Linked DNA regions of Neodiprion lecontei. The protein of the gene in region 3 interacts with the protein of the main gene of each other region in a pairwise test. Links are inferred from orthologs where the notes say so. Each region holds a gene or a part of one and is shown on either strand. Other genes may lie near its edges. The genes, in order: protein deltex, segment polarity protein dishevelled homolog DVL-3, neurogenic locus Notch protein and neurogenic protein mastermind.

What was found.
Region 1: the proteins of neurogenic locus Notch protein (region 3) and protein deltex interact in binary tests that used the Drosophila melanogaster proteins (3 or more experiments, as listed by UniProt). The link is inferred for Neodiprion lecontei from reciprocal best matches to the Drosophila melanogaster genes N and dx.
Region 2: the proteins of neurogenic locus Notch protein (region 3) and segment polarity protein dishevelled homolog DVL-3 interact in a two-hybrid assay, tested with the Drosophila melanogaster proteins (3 studies listed by BioGRID). The link is inferred for Neodiprion lecontei from reciprocal best matches to the Drosophila melanogaster genes N and dsh.
Region 4: the proteins of neurogenic locus Notch protein (region 3) and neurogenic protein mastermind interact in a two-hybrid assay, tested with the Drosophila melanogaster proteins (5 studies listed by BioGRID). The link is inferred for Neodiprion lecontei from reciprocal best matches to the Drosophila melanogaster genes N and mam.

The regions. Positions count from the first base shown.
Region 1 is NC_060264.1:2,162,130-2,167,962, reverse strand, and holds protein deltex, read left to right. Parts: upstream 1-1,570; 5' UTR 1,571-1,874; coding exon 1,875-2,026; intron 2,027-2,504; coding exon 2,505-2,712; intron 2,713-2,818; coding exon 2,819-3,088; intron 3,089-3,236; coding exon 3,237-3,525; intron 3,526-3,599; coding exon 3,600-3,921; intron 3,922-4,003; coding exon 4,004-4,358; 3' UTR 4,359-4,363; exon of another isoform or gene 4,364-4,985; intron 4,986-5,062; 3' UTR 5,063-5,300; downstream 5,301-5,833. Other genes in the region: ubiquitin carboxyl-terminal hydrolase 30 homolog, read right to left, coding at 1-50, 122-280, 465-564.
Region 2 is NC_060262.1:8,146,949-8,151,983, reverse strand, and holds the start of segment polarity protein dishevelled homolog DVL-3, read left to right. Parts: upstream 1-2,032; 5' UTR 2,033-2,425; coding exon 2,426-2,586; intron 2,587-3,361; coding exon 3,362-3,431; intron 3,432-3,633; coding exon 3,634-3,886; intron 3,887-3,976; coding exon 3,977-4,159; intron 4,160-4,283; coding exon 4,284-4,494; intron 4,495-5,035.
Region 3 is NC_060261.1:15,201,939-15,206,508, reverse strand, and holds the start of neurogenic locus Notch protein, read left to right. Parts: upstream 1-1,551; 5' UTR 1,552-1,808; coding exon 1,809-1,896; intron 1,897-4,570. UniProt on the Drosophila melanogaster protein: Essential signaling protein which has a major role in many developmental processes. Functions as a receptor for membrane-bound ligands Delta and Serrate to regulate cell-fate determination.
Region 4 is NC_060265.1:1,241,340-1,245,941, forward strand, and holds the start of neurogenic protein mastermind, read left to right. Parts: upstream 1-1,565; 5' UTR 1,566-3,504; coding exon 3,505-3,996; intron 3,997-4,602.

The DNA.
Region 1 (5,833 bases), on a different chromosome or scaffold from region 3:
AATTGGTGTTACGTCTCCATATATCATTTCGTCGCAGAAGCCATTTACCTCTTAACAATAAAAATCATTTACATATTTGTTACAATTGTTTATGCAGTACTCAAAACGAGAGCAAGCTTACTATCTAGAATGGAGAGAAGGCTCCGGGCAAATTGGCCATTTTCATTGTTGACAAGCTGCGTCCGAAGCCAGCCGACAAACATTGGACACGCTGCTAGAGACTGGAGAAGCGCGTTCATGAAACAAGTGTATCCTAGATTGGTGAGTCCAATAATTTGGCCTAGAATAACGACAATGACATAAATTCCAAGAGGAATGATTATAGGTAAACAAGCTAGTTTTTTGAGTAATTAGGATAAAACGGGCAACGGTTCATTACTGTATAATATTAAAAATGACTTCATCAATTGAAAGACTTGTGAAGGAAAGGAGACAATCGTCGATCGCTACTTGTATGCTATTACCTCTTCGCCTAGGCCTAGGCGAAGGTCCCCAAAGTACAAAAGCGCCGATAACAAGGGCAAACCCGACACCGGCGACCATAGCAATTTTCTCAACATCCATTTTGCGTAGAAGTTTATAAGTTGAAGTGTAGAAACAATATTAAATATTGTTAGATATCCAGCAGAAACGGTTATAACCTATTTGTGATATATCGTGTGAGAATGAGCTGCGTTATTTCATTATTACAGCAAGTCTTCATCGCCCGATCATTTCACCGCATAGTTCATTTGCCTAAGACACGATTTGAGACGGCTACTTTGCCACTTCTCTGTTTACAAAATTTTTTCTTGTATTTTTAATCCACAGTACGGGTCCGACCCGAATTGTGCAGAGCCGTCTCCGACGAACGGTGAAGTGGTCAATGCTCAATACAAATGGGCAATGACAGCCTTGCCAACCCTTCGAATAGAAATTCAGGAATCGGAAACGCATACTTGGCTCGTTGGAAAAAAAATGTAGAGCAATGAACCCTATCCATGTTTTGTAAATTTATGAATTACGCAGAGCCGTTACACTTGATCATCTCGAATTCGTAGAAAAAAAACGACGTGAGCTCTGCATTCTGACTTTCGAATCTTACGAGATAAATGTAAAGAAAAAAGGGTCGACAGGTGTCATTTATGCCATGTTTAATGTATACATGTGCGTTGTGTACCTATGTGTGCATAACACTATGCATACAATCGTAACGTATAATGCAGGAATTTAATTCATCAGATTGTTAACCGTAATCAACTAATTCGATAAAGGGAATAGTTGACAATGACAAATGTGCACGGAAACGTTTATCATCGTATAACGTGCATTGCAATTCTCAAGTGAAAAACAGTGAGAACTATAAAATTGTAGTAAATTCTCTCCTCGGCGTTAAGCCTGGCTAGGGGAGTCGGATGCTGGGAAGGCTGGGAAGTGACAAGTGCGCTTGGAGGAAGCAGCGTCCATCCTTTTCTCTTTTAATTCTGTGCCGACTCCGGTGATTTCAAGTCGATTGTTCAGTCATCGAAGGGTAAATGAAACAGAGCGAGAAAACGGATCGCCGTTACTTAGCGAATAACCCGTCGGCTAATACGGAGTAAACTGAAACTCCAATATTTACGTTCTCGTTACGCAGACGTATACAAAAGGATCGTGGAGAGGGGCGGAGGGGAGGAGGACAGACAACACCGATACTCTCTACGGTGTGCGGGCGGAGCTGTATGAATTCGAAAAATGTTCCCACGGTCACGTCGAACCGAGTTGATCGCCACGTTCGTCCCAGTTCATCTTTCGCGGCGCTCAGCGTCCTGTGAGAGCGGCCTTGACCGTTGACCGTTCTATTTACACCATTCTCATCTTCACCCACTTCACTCGAACCTGAAGGATCGAGGAAGATGAGTGGGCACGCAGTCGTCGTGTGGGAATGGGAAAATCGACAAGCTAGATGGAGGCCGTACAGTCCGGCGGTTTCCCAGCACCTGGAGAGAGCCCATTGCAAAAAACTTACCAGGGTATTCTTGAACGACGCAGATCCGAGCCTCGACAGGTATGAGAAAATAAAATTTACACTAAAATGGCAATGGATCATTTCTATGAGCTCTGTCATTTTTTTTTACCATGCAGCTTGCTTTGTATTTTAATCGTACCCTGATATTCATATTTTATCTAAAATCGTATTTACCGTAAAAGATTAAAACTGACCCGATCTTACCCCACCATTAGATGCTACTTGGAACGATTCTCTATTGAAAATTGGAAAGTTGAATTCTTCCTTCGTTGAGTTACCAAGAGAAGATGATATAAATTATTGAATAGTCTAAATATTTCAGCTCGATTGGTTCCACGATGCTTGGGATTTAATAATAGCAAGCTTGAGAATTTCGTTCCCTGAAAAATAGCCACATATTTCTGCGTACACACTTGTATTCTTCTCAGTATTGCTTATTGGGTATTGCAAGGTCTTCTTGCTAGGACTTGATTAGTTTTCGGTGTATTTTTCCATCTGTTATGAAAAAAAACGACAGTTTCGTCTGTATCAGATACTACATCAATCTGAGGACAAAGACGCAGTGCAGTGACGATGGCACGGAAACTCATAACGTTAGGAGAAAATTTTACTTGCCTGGATCACCGGCAGGAAAAGGTGCCAAGTGGGAATGGGTCGGTGACACTGACGATTGGCACACTTACGACATGGAGGTCCAGTGCCTCATAGAGGAAGCATGGGCACGGGTGCGTTTAAAAAATTCTAAGATGTAACTTTTCTGGTTCGAATATTTATAAATCGTATAAGAGCAATATTTCTCTTAATTAATTTATTACCTTTTGATTTTTCCAGGGTGACAAAACAATTGACGTTTCCAAAACATACCTCGGCTTTCCTTACATAATAAATTTTTGCAACCTTACTCAAGTTAGATGTTGCACAGGTTATGTACGCCCGATCAGACGTATACAGCAGGCACCGTATCCTTTAGTGAAAGTTGCGCTTGAGGAATTGCCACCGACTACTGGAAGAAGAGGACTAAATGGAACTGTCAAAAATCCACATGCTAAACCAACACATAAGAAATTACCCAATGGGACTGGAAAGAAGAGTAGCAAGAAGGTAATGCAAAGTGCTCGATGATTGATTAGTAAAGTAGTTGAATCATCTCATAAAATGGGTTTGAGAAGAACCTTTGAAAGCTTACATCAATACTAGAGTCAAAACTTGATCAGAACCTATAATGATTTCAAGCATAACATTTTTTTAGGGAAAACATGGCGATACAGGACCAACAAACATCGCTCGTGTGATATTGAATAACTTGAATATTTTCGGTAATAAGCATGCGGAAAACGTGCCAGTAGAAAGCACTACAGAACCAGTTCAAAAACGCAAGACACGGGATTCCAATTTACTAGACATTGATTCAAGCAGCACCAAAAGTGGTCGGCGTCCTAGCGTTGATACAGTATCCACCTATCTCAGTCACGAAAATTATGTTGATTTATTAGACAGCAGTGTAGGGAGTGACGATGCCTTCAAGGATTCAGTTATTGGTGAGCAAGAAGCTTACTCAACATATTGCAAGAAAGAGAGTACATCCAACATTAAGGCCAATCATTCGTTTCAGGCGTTGTAGTCGAAGCTCCTGATGTCATATCTCAGTATGTAAGGGTGGTTGAAAGTGCCGGTGCTGATTCGTGTCCTGTTTGTTTGGGCTCTCCTGAGCCTCTGACAGTCGAGTTGACTCGCTGCAGACACAGGTTACACCTAGCGTGTCTAAACGCAATGATTAGTTCACAACAGCAACCAATGTACATACAGTGTCCAGTGTGCCGATTGATATATGGAGAAAAGAGAGGAAACCAACCTCCAGGGACAATGAATTGGACCAGAATACCGCGGTCTCTTCCTGGATTCCCGAACACGAACACAATTCAAATAACTTACGAGTAAGTAGGCGTAACATTCTCGCAAAACTGACTTGATTTCATTCGGTTTTCTCGATTTTACGCGTTTCTTGTTGGTTTCTAGCATTCCATCAGGAATTCAGGGTCCTGAGCACCCAAATCCTGGCCAAACATACTACGCAGTTGGCTTTCCTCGAGTTTGTTATCTCCCCGACAACGACACAGGCAGAAAAGTCCTAAGACTACTGCAAATCGCTTTCGAGAGAAGGTTGATCTTCACCGTTGGACGGTCAGTGACTACGGGCCGAGAAGATGTCGTTACCTGGAACGAAATTCATCATAAAACTGAGTTAGGTCCGTCGACCTTGGGACATGGGTATCCCGATGCTTCATACTTGGAACGAACGCTCGCGGAACTCGCGGCACAAGGAGTTTCCGATGGCCAATCAGTGACTGGTTTCTACCAAGAGCTTCATTGACTCAGGTATTTCGACGTTTTCGCTTTGCGAAAATATTCTTTAGATCAGGGTTGGGCTGAGCAGCTGTGCAGTTAAACTGACGAGAAAAGACTGACTGAACAAGAGGAAACAGTCTGCCAAACAAGAAATCAATTTTTTTTCGTGGTGAATAAATTCTGGCGAATATTAATACTATTTGGGACATGCAAGATGGTCTCAACAATGCCTTACGTATTATACAATAATTATCGTTGGCGTAATAGCTTTAATTTGCAATTCAATATTAATAGCTTTATATTATACTTACATATAAGCGTGAGAGCGTGTGCGTGTGTGCGTGTGCGTTAGCATGTGTGTGTGTGTGTATTCCGCACATTTTTTTTCAAGTTTTTTGAAATATATTTCTCAAATTTTGTGTAGTTAAATGGATCTGCAGCATTATATTCGTGCGGTTGTTTTTAGTCTGCTATAATCTCGAAATGTTAATTTACCTTGCGTTAAATTTTAAATGGAACAAAATACTATGAGGAGAATGGTGATCCGTGCTTCCAGAAAAATATTATATACTATATACATATACGTAGATTTATACTCCATCAAAATGGTATTAATGAAAATAGATATATAGATATATTTATGATAGAAATATATTAAATAAATATAACAATTAGTATAAAATATACAAATTACACTTTCTCATCAGATTGTAATTTAACTAATTTCAGATTCAACCAATAACCAACCTTTTTCGTTCTTCCTGTATGTACCTTGCGAGTGCCGTGTTTGGACACTAGCAGATATTGCACAAATTTCAACATACTGACAGATACTTCAGTCAGGTTGGCAGATAGACGGCCAGGGTCTACTTAATCACAATCAGAGAAGGGACCCAAAGCTTTGGAAAGTCTGAGAATTCTCCGAATAGTGCAAATCCCGCAGAATTCAAAGCAGATACAAAAACAAGTACATTCATGCTATATCTAATGATTTGGGATACTCAATTCTTTATGGTATACTCCAGTAGCGTTTTTTGGTATCAGTATAGCCAGATGATATATGCCAACACAGATACGCATTATCGGGAGTATTATTATGAGCTTGAATTCTGAGTTGAAATTTAAAAAATACATATTTTAATCGGCCCAAACTCGTGAAGGATATCGAAACGACTTGGACACTTTTTGGTAATCCGTGGTATAATTCAAATTTCTTGGCGCCGAGAACTGCGGCAACTCGGCAAACATACGTGGCGATGTTCGTTTGCAAGTCATGCGTATATAAATTACCAGTGAGTTAATTATTACAAAAGTCAGGGAGTGAGAAAAAAAAAAGAAATGGCAGAATGTTGACAATTGATTATGTCTCCATAACATCATTTAAAATGATCGCCCAACGGTGTGAAGTAAGGCCAACTCTATCACATTGTGATCAGGGGGACTCCAGATATGCTCAAGATGGCCGAGGATTGATTTTTCTGATTTAAACGAACCCTGTAA
Region 2 (5,035 bases), on a different chromosome or scaffold from region 3:
TGAAAAAGTAATACAATAAAGCAAGGTGAGGATATACGAAGTCAAAGCTCAGAAAAAGTGCAAGGAGAGAATAAAGAGACACTATATTCTAACGGACTTACGAAATATACTCGACTTAGAACGAAGGCTGAATTATCTCCGATAGCTGCAATAACAAAAGACGGAGGTTATCTCAGGCAGCAAGAGTTTCCCATCCATGCAGCAAGTGCCAATTGTGTTATTTGTGGTTTGTCTACATCGTTCGAAAACACTCGCTTCCACCGCACGTCCGTCGAGTACCGATCGAGGGGGCCCCTGATTGTGCCTCGACCCTGTTTTCGTGAAATCAAACCGTGTAATAGATATCACTGCGTCATATCAGAGCCAACGAGGATATCCAGGGAATATATTCTAATGATTACCGACTCTCCGATGACGGCTCGAATCCCTGCCAAAATGACAGTGTGGTTCATGAAGACTATACAAGGAGCACGAAGTTAAATACTTGAATTGACAAAACTTGTCACAGTAATCATACATATTACGTTAATTTTTTGTACCGCTAGCGTCGCTAGTGTTCCTTTAGCAGCGAAGTGTCATTGGTTGCAGGGATGCCCAAGATCGACTAATCGATGATCTTGCAATGGGATTCGTAGAAAGTTTTCACTGCCGCCTTATGCCTCCCCCCAAACTTAGTTTCAGTACTTATTGAACACTAGTGACCTCTCATTTTGGGAAGCAATTTGTATACATCAAGTTCGTGCTCCTTGTATAAGTCTCCATGGTGTGGTTGGTAATACTCGGCGATTTTCGAGACTACTTGGCACATGACGTACTTCCGCTTATGCGCAGCAAGGAGGTGCCCAGGCAAAGGGAATTTTATTTAAGTTATTGAGCAAGTTCGATCAGACGTCACTCAGTCACCAGAATACAGCGCGTGTATTAAAAATTTCTGGAGAGCGCAAAACCTATACAGATCTGAGGACCCAAAAGCCTGACCCAAGCATTGAGTAGTAATACCGTGTAGTAATGAAGAAGGCTAGCCCCTGAGCAATGTAAAACAACATTCCTTTCCTATTAGATAGATAAGTCATAGAAATTTCTGGAAATTACCACAAGTTGCGACAAGGATTTTGAGTTATAACTTTACTGTTATAACATATTACGCCAGCTTTCTTACAGTGCTACTTTAAATCACTCTTTAAATAAACTGGTATAGGAATGCGACCCCAGAACAAATTCAAATAATCTCTGAGCCTATTTTACTACCATGCAATTTGCCCATTTGGTTGGCGTACTTCGGATATCGCTAGTTTACGCCACAACCCTAAAGCATATAGAAGTAAGGAGGACTATCTTTGTGTATAGAAAGTGTCCATGAAATAGGGTGAAATTAAGATGGCGTTGTAGGAAAAGTTCCACATTCAACAGAAAGCACGAATCAGATTGAAGCCTTATTGCTTATTAGAATCATTCTGGTGACTTGTTGAGCCACTATTTGTCGCTTTATGGTGGACACTTTTTCAGTTGATAACCCACGTGAGATAGCTACTTCTTACCTCTTCGCGCCATATACTCGAGGTAGCTTCGCGTATACAGAAAGGTAGCGGAGGAGTGAGAGAGAAAGGTATATGTCGAGTATAATCTGTCTTAAATAATCATCTAATTGAATGCGAGAGACAGAGTGCCCCTAATACTTCTCTCTCTCTCTCTCTCTCTCTCTCTCTCTCTCTCTCTTTCTCTCTCATCACATCGGCTGCAGTTTTCGCAAGGTGACAGGTTGGGCAGCCACCTCCCGTAGTATGTGCTCTAAGGCCACAACTGAATTGAACTAAACATTCGAAATCTCGATGATAATCGACCTAGCGCTGCCATGAAGTTGGCAATTTAACTTGCTAAGTCTAGCAGTATATTCTATATCGTGTTTGTGGCCCATGCCCATAAAATCCACGCTTTTTTATTACCGAGAGATTCTCAGGAAACCACGAGGCGAAGTTTGAAAGCCCTAGGTCAAAAGCAAGTTTTACATGCCTCTGATGCGTGTCAAAGCGTTCGAAATTTTTCACATTCTAACCATACGATATGTTCTCACAATCCATTTTTCGCACGAACCACACGATGCGAGTGTATTCGAAGCAGCTAATGAGAGAATTCGATTAAGGAGGAATGGAGACACCGCGATCCTCCCGATGCTTTTTCTGTTGATTATTACGATTTCGGTGAGATTGTTCGCCCCCGTCGCAGCCGTGTGCGCGACCGGATAAGATTTAACATTATTGGGAAGAGTAGGGTGCGCAATGACCGTCTGCTGCGCGAGGTAGCTGCGCGTTGAGATAATAATCTGGAACCCCAACGAGTGTCGACAGCGCCATGTTGGCTTAAGAGAAGAAGTGCACGGAGAGTAATCAACGTCCGTGAATGTTCTCCGTTTAACAATCTCCCAGCGATGGAGGAGACAAAAATAATATACCACATTGACGACGAGGAGACACCGTACCTAGTTAAGCTAACAATATCACCGGAGAGAGTGACTCTAGCCGACTTCAAGAATGTCTTGAATCGTCCGAGCTACAAGTATTTCTTCAAATCGATGGACGACGATTTCGGGTAAGTTTTGCACCACCCTACGCTCTCCTTATCATCCAGCAGCGGATCACTCGCCCTGCGCTTGTTTCCTTTCGCTCTTGCCCTTTCTCTCACCAAAGCCTCTACGCTACTCCATATTTCATCCCCAACATCCCTCGGGAACCAGGATACCCCGACTTTCAGGGTGCGAACCCACACTCTGCCCCTCTCGCCAGTCACCTTCCTCTATTCGTCGTCCCTGTCGCTCCGCCACCATCCGTCACTTTCCGCTGTCTCTCAGGATCGCCAAACACTATTTCACTTGTCCGTCGGATAGAAATAATCGACAAACTTTACTCGAGTATTTACAAATTCTGCTCTTCTTACCTCAAAACGCGAAATAGAATCTGATGTATAAAACGATTCATTTCTAACACTACTTGTCAACACGAAGCTTTTTCTTCATTCATTTTTTTTCCTGTTTTCTTTGTTTTTTTCCGTGCTTTCGCGTAGACAGTTCACATATACGCAATTCTTTCATTTATCGAACATTACAGAATTCTTGTTTTTAAAAAAAAACATGTTTTTCACTATTGGACTTGAGTTTTAAAACGTGTTTATTGCGCTTTTAGATATCTTGCTTCCATTTTGAAATATACAAGAAACACTTCTTTGTACGATACTTTGACTAATTCGCTCTTGTCCCAATAGTTGTTCTATCTTAGAAATACCAATGGAAATATCTGCCTTGCGTCTGTACTGATTCGTCTTGCATTAACCTCTTGAACTTTTACCTATAAATAATATGTTTTCACAGCGTTGTCAAAGAAGAAATAGTTGACGATGACGCACATTTACCATGTTTCAACGGAAGGGTTGTGTCTTGGGTAAGCACTCATACCCGTAAGCCTAATTAGTTGATTTCATTCGCTGCACATTGCCACAGTAAATAACAAATGGACAATTCATAGAAGCATAATGATGATGTTTTGAAATTATATAAAACTTCTTGATAGTAAAATATTAGTAAGTGTGCATAATTGATGTAGTTAAAATCACTGATGATCATTTTTTGAATATTGTCAACAGCTGGTTTCTGCTGAAGGCAGCAACGTATCAGATGGAGCATCGCAGTGCACAGATTCCGTAGCAAACAGTGAGGCAAAACATGATCGCCCTGACCATGTTACTCCAGGACACATGAACCGAGCACCTCCACTGCTCTCACACGATGACACATTGACAGAAACTGAGAGTATTATAAGCAGCAGGCAAGGCCATCATCTGCACAAAAGTTCGCGGCATCATTCGGACAAATATGAGAGACATAACAAATATAATGGTAATGTGGTTCCTTTGCTTGTCGATTCCAATAGCATAGGATTGATTGTAATTATCTACGACTTTACTGTTATTTTATGATATGATACAGGGTTACGCATAAACGGCCATTCCAAGCATCGTTCCGGACATGGATATGAAACCGCATCGATTTTAAGCTCCGACTTAGAGACAACTACTTTCCTGGAATCTGATGACGATGCGAGCAGCCGAATAACGTCTACGACTGGGCGACACACGAACACAAGCAGTGCCATAGATAGAGCAACCTTAGGTATGATGTTTGTGTATTTTGTTGTTTAGAGCTGAGCTGTATCGAGATTTCTTTTCAATATAAGATTCGTTGTAAACACAACTGGCTTCGAAAATCATTGATGCAATATTCATTTCACTTATAGACCGTCGCAGGACGCAGCGAAAACGTCGTCACAGATTACCACCAATGTCAAGAACGTCATCGTTCAGCAGCATCACTGACAGCACCATGTCTCTGAACATTATAACCGTATCACTCAATATGGACACTGTCAATTTTCTCGGCATTAGTATCGTTGGCCAAAGTAACAAAGGAGGTGACGGCGGCATCTATGTCGGCTCCATTATGAAGGGGTAAATATAAATATTTGTTACCACACATTCACGAGTTACTTCAGTGTCTGCCATTTTTATTGAAATCCATCTTTATCACATATCACTGGGATCAACACGTGGTTTTGCTTTTTTCCTACATCTGTAGATTATTTACACGTTATCACGTTTAGAGTAGCATCTTTACATGTTCAACGACTCAATTTTATAATACAGTTTATTTTCAAGTAATTTTTACAAACGAATAACTTAATGAAAAACGACACGTCAAATTCTGCCTAAGGTTTCGTTTTCACGAAATACGCGGTACCGAAAGGACTCTGTAATATTTATTTTTGTACAGAGCATCCAAAGTTTGATCATGGTGGCTACTGGTCAGGGGGCAACCTGGAAGGCTGGGAAAAGTCGGAATTTTTTTGATCAGGTTTTTTAGCGGTATGGAAAGACAAGGAATAAAACTTCTCTAGAGAAAAACAAAATGCGATAGATATTTGTTGTTTAAATGCTCCTTTCCACGACCACTGAGTGCACCATCAACGTTTTTTCAAATACCGATTATTTC
Region 3 (4,570 bases):
TTATTTATTCATTTCTCAAGGCTCAAATGTCTATTATTAACGAGCTTAAATTACCTTCATTAATTGTGTATACACACGCGATATCTCATTATATCGAACTGGCTGAAACAGTATTATAATGTAATGTATAATAAACATAAACGCTTCGTCCATAATTAGTAGTTAGGTTGATGTCGCCAAGAGCTTCTACATAGTTTCTATTTTAAACGAATTTTCAAACTCGAACAAATCTTTAAATTAAAGAATATCATTGCAAGACAGAGTTAATACTGCACTCAGAAAAATAAAGTGAAACTGAAGCAAATAAATTTTAGTTGCGTACAAACAAATTAAAAAATTTATCTGTAACGCATAAATCTTTACTTGAAATAATGAAGTATTCCATTCTCATAAATTTATATTTAGTTGACAAGATTTCATTTCAACTGTCTGAAGTAAAAAGATTCTTCAAATTTAATTAAGTCGATATTTACTGTAACAAAATTTTTAGTGAGTTCATATAAGATAAAAAATTTAGCTGCTTTCAGCAGCTATGCACGTTTAACTTCTCTTTTCTATGTTTTCAGAGTAAAAAGGAAGTTATTGTAATAGCTCCGAAAATGAAAAGTTGAGTTCTCACTAGATCTGCACGTTTTAAAATCTAGAGCATCACGATTTTAATGTTTTTGTCGCAATTGATGCGATTTTTCGAAACGTAGATCGGATTATATTTCGGCTTTGATTGGTTCATTACATGTCGAATTATTTAAATAACAATATTCTTACAAATAGAATAGAAATGATACCTTGAAAATGGGTGAACAAATTTGCATGATCATTTGTGTCATTACTTTAGATTTTTATGTCGCAAATCACGAATCTCGAGTTAAAAAAACTAAAAACAATTGGATTTTGATGAAAATTTATACTTGAAGGTTTTTTGAGTCGGTGATCACGAATCAATGAGATCTGTAAATTTTTCATTATTAATATCATTCTTATTATTTCAGCTCGAAACGAGTTTGCAAACGGCAAGTTGAAAGGCTGGCTCATGGTCAGCCGAAACCCGCTTGTTCTTGGTGCATCGCGAATAGGATTACATGTACCTAAGAATCTGATAATCTCATATAAAGAAGATCGTATGAAGATTGTATTTCATTGAAGTGTTCGATAATAAACCAACGTATATTAATATTTGTACAAGAGTTTATAGCCAAGCAGGCCCTTCGGAGGCAGCGTGCGGCAGGATTTTTTGTCCCCCGCGGCATAAATGGAGGCGGTGTCACGTGACGGAGGTATTTAAACGATACGAGGGGACCGAATGAGAAAAAAGCGGAGGGCTGCAGGGCGTCGAAAACGGGCACTCGTACAATTTCATAGCGTAGTTCGAACGGAACCGTAGAACGCATCAACCCCTCGATTGGACAGCGGGATTGGCAGATGGTGTCGGCCATTTTGTGATCGGCGGAGTGAGACAAGCGTTCTCGCTCGAGATGCGCGCGCCGTTCCGGGACTACTTTCAGCGCGTGAAGTGAACAATAGAATCCCAGACGAGTTTGAGCCGCGGTCATGTTCGTATATGAGGTCTGTGTCGTTGTTTTGCTTCACGTTGTTCAGCTCGCGTAATGTAAACACGCCGCCGGAGCAGCAGCAGCAGCAGCAGCAGATTGAAGTTACGATGAACATTGAAGTTACCCGGGTGTTAAACGATAATGGACTGTAGCCGGTTGCACTGCACGGTATCGCATTATGTTATTATAGTGATTAAGTGATTGTGTGATCAATTGTCTGATGTGTGTGATCTCTGTGTGGATAAATTCTCCGCCAACATGCTCCGTCTACAGCGGAATATGGATTACGCATTGACGATCGTCGCTCTGGCTCTTTTCGTCGCCAGTCTGCCGGCCTCGGTTCACGGTGAGTTTATTCTCATCGAATAAAACGGAAGAATCCTCCGTAGTCGTCACCCGGAATTTCAAGTTCCCCCTTAGAATGCGCGTGTGCGGAAACAAAAAACTCCCCGTCGCGACGGCAGCTGCAGGCTGTGCAACAGGTCTGAAAAGCGACGCGGGTTTCTCCGCGCCGGCGCGACATTTTCGAACGCGCTGTCCTACTTAAAAACTCGAAAACACCCCAAAGTCGGCAGCCCGGCTTCGCCGAGCGAATGCCTGCCTCAAGTATTCCTGCATTAGCATTTCAGGGCGCGTCGCGAGGCGTCGAGTTGCTGCCATTCCACTACTACCTGTCCCGAAAATATACCCGAATAAACCGCCACCTCGAAAATCTCTTGATTCATCAATGTAACCGCAAGCATCCGGTTTTTCCATTCATTCTGCGCGATGAAAACAAATCTGACATTTTCTTTTTCCCTTCCGCCGCGTGCTTCAAATTTCGATCAAGCTTGATCAAAACCTCTCGCCGAAGAGCGATCTGAACTTTGCATTTAAGCTTTGTCAAAAGTCACGGTAAACCATAAACTTACGTTTAAATATTCCACTCAAATTAAGTGAAAACTTGAGTTTTCTATCAAGCTTGATCGATCGAAATTTCTACCGTAACATTACATTTCGCCCGATTCTCACCGAACACGCAACTAAGGCATTGAATAATTGAATACATAACGAATCGTTTTACGATTCCTGAATGAATTAGAGTTCGAGTTCCTCGCTCTGCGCAAATTCGTTTTTACGACCGGACCGGCTTTCAGCCTCACGCACAGCTAGTCCTGCTTGCCTGAGCGAGTGAGTGCTTATAAAATGCCGAATACACGAGTCACGTGGTCGCGACAGCGGTTCTCAATTGAAAAATCGTCTCGCGTGTGCGTACCGGCTTTTTCCGTCACAGGTTGGGACTCCCTGTTGAAACGACAGGTGTTCAACCCCACTTTCCACGAAACGAATATCTTTCTTGTTGGGTTTATTACGTACACGTATATGTATATGTATATAGACTTTATTGAACTCGGGCGTTGATATCCAGGTGAAATTTTACACTCACCGCATTATTAGGACCGTTTAAAAATCTGATGAATTTTACAATAAACTCAAAGCAAATCGTTTCCCAAATTTTATTTATCCGTAATTTTGTAACAGGAAATATATCAGTTTTGGAACAACTTTCAAATTATTTACAAAAGTCGGATTACCCTTTTTCCAGATTACGCGTTTTAAGCAATCGTTATATTTCCATATAACACAATCAACCTTCTACTTGAATCGTGATAGATAAAAATCACTCACGCTATTCCAAAATATGAACTAAATATAACTTGACGTTCAACATTTTCAAAACTCTTTTATAAAATCAACTGTAAAATCACCGTCGTAAAAAATATACAACTTGGAAGTTGCAAAAAAAAAAACAAGATAAAAAAATTAAAACAAGAACTATTGCGTGCTATTATCCCTCCTAAACTTTTAATTACAGTCAGAGCAACTGTATTTCATGTGAACGTTTCATATTCTACGGCGTTAACTTTTACAGTAATACGCGGTACAGAAGAAAAAATTCGTTATAATTGTAGCGTCGTTTCCGGTGAATTCCGGCGAGTGGCGAATGCGTTAATGCATACAATAGACCCGTCCCAGCCGGAATAAAGAATCCGAGAGAAATGAAGCGCGAGTAAACATGGCGCACGGTGGTTCGTCTGCGTGTCGGCTGGAATTCTGAGGCGAAATAACTAGGCCTTGCTCCTCGCCTCGGTTTCCATCCATGCCTTCCTTGCGCCCTGGCTTACAATTAGCTTACCTGGAGTCCGTCTCTCCGCTGCATCTGTGTATATGTGTATATATATACACACACATATGCGTATACATATGTGTATATACTCATAATCCACATTCACTCTAGGCTAGACCAAATTTACGGATGTGTTGAACTCGTATTGTATATAGGTATGTAATACCGATGCCGCACAGAGGTTGTCGGAGTCTCAACAACTACGGAACTATGTTCTCAGGCTTTCTCTTCTCTCCTTAGAAACCTATCTTCGCCTCTCCCATTGCCGTGTGTCTTATATATAATGTAGGATTATGTGTATTGTTCTCTATACATGTACGATAGATTTTGACCATTATTGATGAATAAGTTGAAAATAAGTATTAGTCAGGTTCGATGAATTGATTCAAATTTTATTCACAGTCGTATAAAATATAACATACGATACATGATCTTTGTTCAATGATTGGAAAATTTTACAAAATCTTTGTCATTATTTTTTTTATTAGAATTGATTATACAAAAGTAGTGACAGAATAGTTTTTTTTCTTTCTTTCTTGGGTGAAACTGGTGTGATGGAATTAAATTCCAAGTTGAATATAAAATTATGCAATCGTTGAAAAGATTCTTTGGGTTTTTGAAGTTACGTGTAAGAAGTATTTTTTTTCTCCATCTTATGCGATAAAGTTAACTGGCTGATATAATAATGATAACGAAATTCTTGAAACTGTAATGTAGACTGCATTTAAGTATGTGTTATATAATAAGATGGAGTTGAGAACTATTCAAAAACATCGATATAAGAGCATTGTGATAATTCAATGCATAGATATCCGAATGGTCAGAGCGTAAGATTTGGCGAAACCGGAGGTCG
Region 4 (4,602 bases), on a different chromosome or scaffold from region 3:
AACCCTGTTTGCGACCATTGCCAATTTTGTCACACCGTGAGCACAAATAGATAGATAAAAACGATGAAGAGAGCTACCATTTTTAGTGATTTCTTGCACGCAAAGAGAAGTAAAAGTTGAAGTAAAGAAAAAGTCTAAAAATAATAAATTATGAACGCTCAACTAACTTGTGAGAAAAGAGAAATTCAGAACGCCTGCATGATAATTTGAAAGTCGTTAACATAGGCTAAAACATCAGTGACAAAAGGTTTGGGATAATTGTGAAAAACTTTTCAAACCAAACGGCAAGAAACTTATTGACTGAACCGTATTAACCAAAGTTCCGGTTCACAGCCAATTATACGACTACGGGAATCCGAACGAGCAGAAAAGATAATAATCACTTCGTCAATTAGTGTCAAATTTAAATACTTTTTTATTTACCTGGTTCACGGAATTTACCTGTTGTTAATTCCGTGAATAAAGCTCAACCGTTGCAATCAGAATTGACAATAAATGTCAAATATTAACAAAACTTGTGCTTGCCGTGTTCGTAAGCTCACGGGTAAATATTTTGCATTCTGCCTGATTACGGCAGGGGGGAGGGAGGGAGAAAGAATCGCTCTCCCTCCCTTCCTTATTTTGTTACCAATAATTTTTATTCACGGTAACTTCTTACCTTACTGCGTCTCAATTTGTGTATCCCATATTTTCTTCTTCGAAATATCTCCGATCGTTTATCTGTGTTTTCTATGGAATCGTGTACTTTGGCATACCGTAGGCCAGATAAGATTCTCTCTACAAAATAAGACTACCAGCGGCATCTTCGATTGAACGCGAATGTTGCCTCCTTCAGGTTCCTTTTTGTCGTAAAAACAGGTCTGTAATCGATAGCATGATTGATAATCAATTGATCAAGTCGTGAGAAGTACTAACAAATCCTCTTCCACAATAAAACTTCCCGATTTCGAGTCGCCTGATTGCTCTGTCTTTTGTTTTCTCGGGTCAGGTCGAAACAAATTTGTGTGAAAGTCGACACGCATCCTGGTGGATACGGGAAATTACGGGAAGTCAGAAATTCACATATCGCTTCGCATTTTACGTATTGTTATGTATGTATTTCGATTAACTCACTGCATCGGTTTCTTTCTCACGTTGTTGACGATGCAAAAAAACAAAATACATCGATGCGATCCGGGTTGTGGCGCCATAGGTGAGAGTATTAAGAACCCTAGCGTAAGAAAATGCCTTACCTTAAAATCTTGCGAGTAAATCTGTTCATTCGAATTCGCAGATGTGAAACGAATCCTATTCGCCAACTAAGGGAGCGGTTACTCCCGAATCATTCTCAGTTTCATTCGGTTAAAGGTCGCAACCGCTTTTCCAAAACATCCTCGCCATCCACGCTCGCCACGACAGCTTTCTTCCCGAGCGTCGACGAGGCAGTTAGTCGGCAGCCTGAATTCAAGATGGCGCGAGGGTCACGTGTCCCACCGAGAAAGGCAGTGGCGCGGCAGTTCGGCGTTTCGGATCCAGGCGTCGCTGTTTGCGATGTTGTAATTACGGTTTGCCGTTTCAACGATATATGCTCCCGTACCCACGCGCAGTTGTGGTAATGGCCCCGCGCGTTATACAGGGGTAAAACGAGACGGCCGTTTGGGGGAATTGAATGTGTTGTCATCGCGGGGTCGCGCGCGTCGTGATTAACGTAAACTGACCGTGCGGTAGAATCTGTGACCCGACGAAGAGTGGATAGTGACAGTTGAAAAGTGAGGTTAGGGTTAGACTTACGGGACGAGGACGAGGAGAAGGAAGATACGGTGTGAAGTGTTATCATTGTGCGTACGAGAACCTCGGTGTTACTCATCCCCCCTCTCTGTCGATAAAGCAAAACAAACAACATGTGACAAACGCCGCGCGTTCGAAACAACATGTAACTCTCACCACCGTTCAAAGTGCAACGATCACGGGAAAGAAGTAAATGCGAACGGGGTTCACGATCGAAACCTTCGTCAGTCGTCGTTCGGCGTTTAGCCCGAATCGCAGAAGTCCGCTTCTCTTCTGTCTTGACGTTTTATCGAGTACAACATCGGGCCCTCCTTCTCTCCCGCAAACAGAGAGAGAGAGAGAGAGAGAGAGAGAGAGCGAGAGAGCGAGAGAGAGAGAGAGAACGAGAGAAAATAGAGGGAGGCGGCGGATAAACCCGGCGTGTCCGTCTCTCCTGCGGTTGGCTTCAGGCTGCAGCTACGGCAGTTGTGCGTCCCTCGGACTCTCTAGCAGCGGTACACCGGTTCGTCTCTCTCCCCCCCTCCCCTCTCTCTCTCGCTCTTCACGTCGCTTACCCCCGTCCGTTGGATGTCGCACTCCGCCCCCCCCCCCTCGTGCCGAACGACCTACGACCGTCTCTTTCTAGTCGGCTGAAACACGCCGCGCTCACTCTCAACTACCTGTTGTGACGTCGAGCCGCGCGTTATTCGACGTCGCCTTCTGCCGCTGCGAACGACGATCGGCTGGTAGGAGAGCACTCGAGGAGACGTACGTATAACGACGAGTAAGTAGGCGAGACTACTCGCGATCGGTGCACGCGATACCCGTCGTGCGTCGAACAAGTCGAGGATCGGGAAAGGTGGCGCGGTTCGCCGGGACGGATTGTTTACAGTTATTCTTGTTGACGTTCTTTTACACCCTTCGGCGCGAGAGGCGAGAAAGGGCTGCCGCTGATATTCGTACGTAGTGCATACACACGCGCGGCGAACAAAGAAAGTGCAATAGTTGGGTAAGAGTGCGCGGAGTTGACAGTAGTGACAATTAGGTGGAAGTACAACACGTCGAATCCCTACAATGTTTACGGTCGTAACGAAGACGCCGCCGAATGTCATCGGGTTCTTGTTTACATCACGTGGAAGAGGACCGCTACCACCGCTATAGGGCATTGCCGTCGTCGCCGTTCGCAGTGTGTTTCTTCACCCTCCTCGTCACGGAGTTGAACCTGCGCCTGCGCCTGCGCGAGCGCGGCACGCGTGATTCTCGATACGATAAGAAGCGGCAGCGAAGCGACAAAAGCGAGAGGAGAGCGTATAGCGCTCGCCGAGTGATAATAACGTAAAATTCCTTGTTGCAAGGAGGCGGGGGCGAAGGGGAGGTGACGAAAAATAGGAACAATCGCGCGTCGTACGCCGATGTACGAGGTTGCGGAGGAGGGAGAAGCGAGTGACAATCTGCGAGTCAAGTCCAACGGGGGCACCTTCTCGAGTAAGAGAGAAGAAAAAGAAGAGGAAGAGGAAGAGGCAGAGGCTGAGGTAGACGTAGACGCAGACGTGGAAACAGTCGTCGTAGAAGTAGAGGTAGAAGTAAAAGTCGGAGCGGCGGCTGTCCGCCCGTGGAAGGACGGCTCGCGGTGCAAGGGGAGGATGCGAGGGGGGATTATCGCGGTGGCGGAGGAGACACCCCGTCGCGGCGCCAGGGCGACGAGAAGCAGAGGCTCTCATTGAGCTGGCGTACCCTGCGCTGGACTTAGGGGGCTGTATGGAGGCAGGGGGGCTCCTGCCCCGGCAGCCCCCGCAAGGCCCCCCCTCAGGGCCAGCCTCGGCCTGCGTGGGCGCGTCTCAGCAGAGCGTGCAGCACCAGAATAACAACAACAACAATAACAACAACCTCAACAACAACAACAACAACAACGGCATCATCGTGCAGCCGGGTGGCTTGAACGCGAACCAATTGATCGCCCAGAATCAGATACAACAATTACAAATGGGACAGGCGCCGGGGATGGAGGATGCCTTAACCCCAAAGAGGCAGGCCGTATTCGACAGGCTAAGGAGGAGGATCGAAAGCTACAGGAGGCGGCAGACCGACTGCATACCCAGGTTTGATCAGAGCTTCAACGGACTCGTTGAACAAAATAGCCAGGACACTCAGGTGCTCAAGCAACGATTTCTCGAGAGCAAGGCCAAACGGCAGGCCAAGAAGACCGACAAGAAGCAAAACGACCCCGTCGGACTCGCCAGCGTTCACGTGGTGAGTTTACCTCTGTTATTCCCGTTTGTTTCTTTATTATGCGAAACCTTTCCCTGTACGTATTGTGATAAAAGCCCTTCTCTCTCTCTCCCTCCCTCCCTCTCTCTCTTTCCAAGTACCTAAAACGGTCATAAACATTCCGGCTGTCCCGTTTCTTACAAGTCAAACGTATTGTCTCGAATTCCCTAATCCTCTTCGAGGTGATACCGTTGTAAGGAAGAAAAGAAAGAGAGAGAGGTAGAGGGATAGAGAGTTAGTTGAGCCGCACGTACGGAAAGTCGTTAGTACAACAACGGTATGTAACGGGCGAGCGACGGTGAGGACGAGGAGGACGACGGTGACTACGGGCGTCTTGCTTGCCCGACCCAACCAACCAACCAGCCAGTGCAGTAATCCGAGCTTAGACCGGAGCAACCCGACATTCCAATTCGATTCCCGCGTTTAACTCTCTCCATGATTCATGCATCTATGTGCATACATACGCACGCGTCTCTGGTGTACGTTTATACCCTAGACGACGACGACGACGACTCCGCGAGAGAGATGCGATCTCGCCGTTTCTGTTCGCCGCCGGCTCCCCCTCCGCCCGTCCAGTTATCGCGTCTA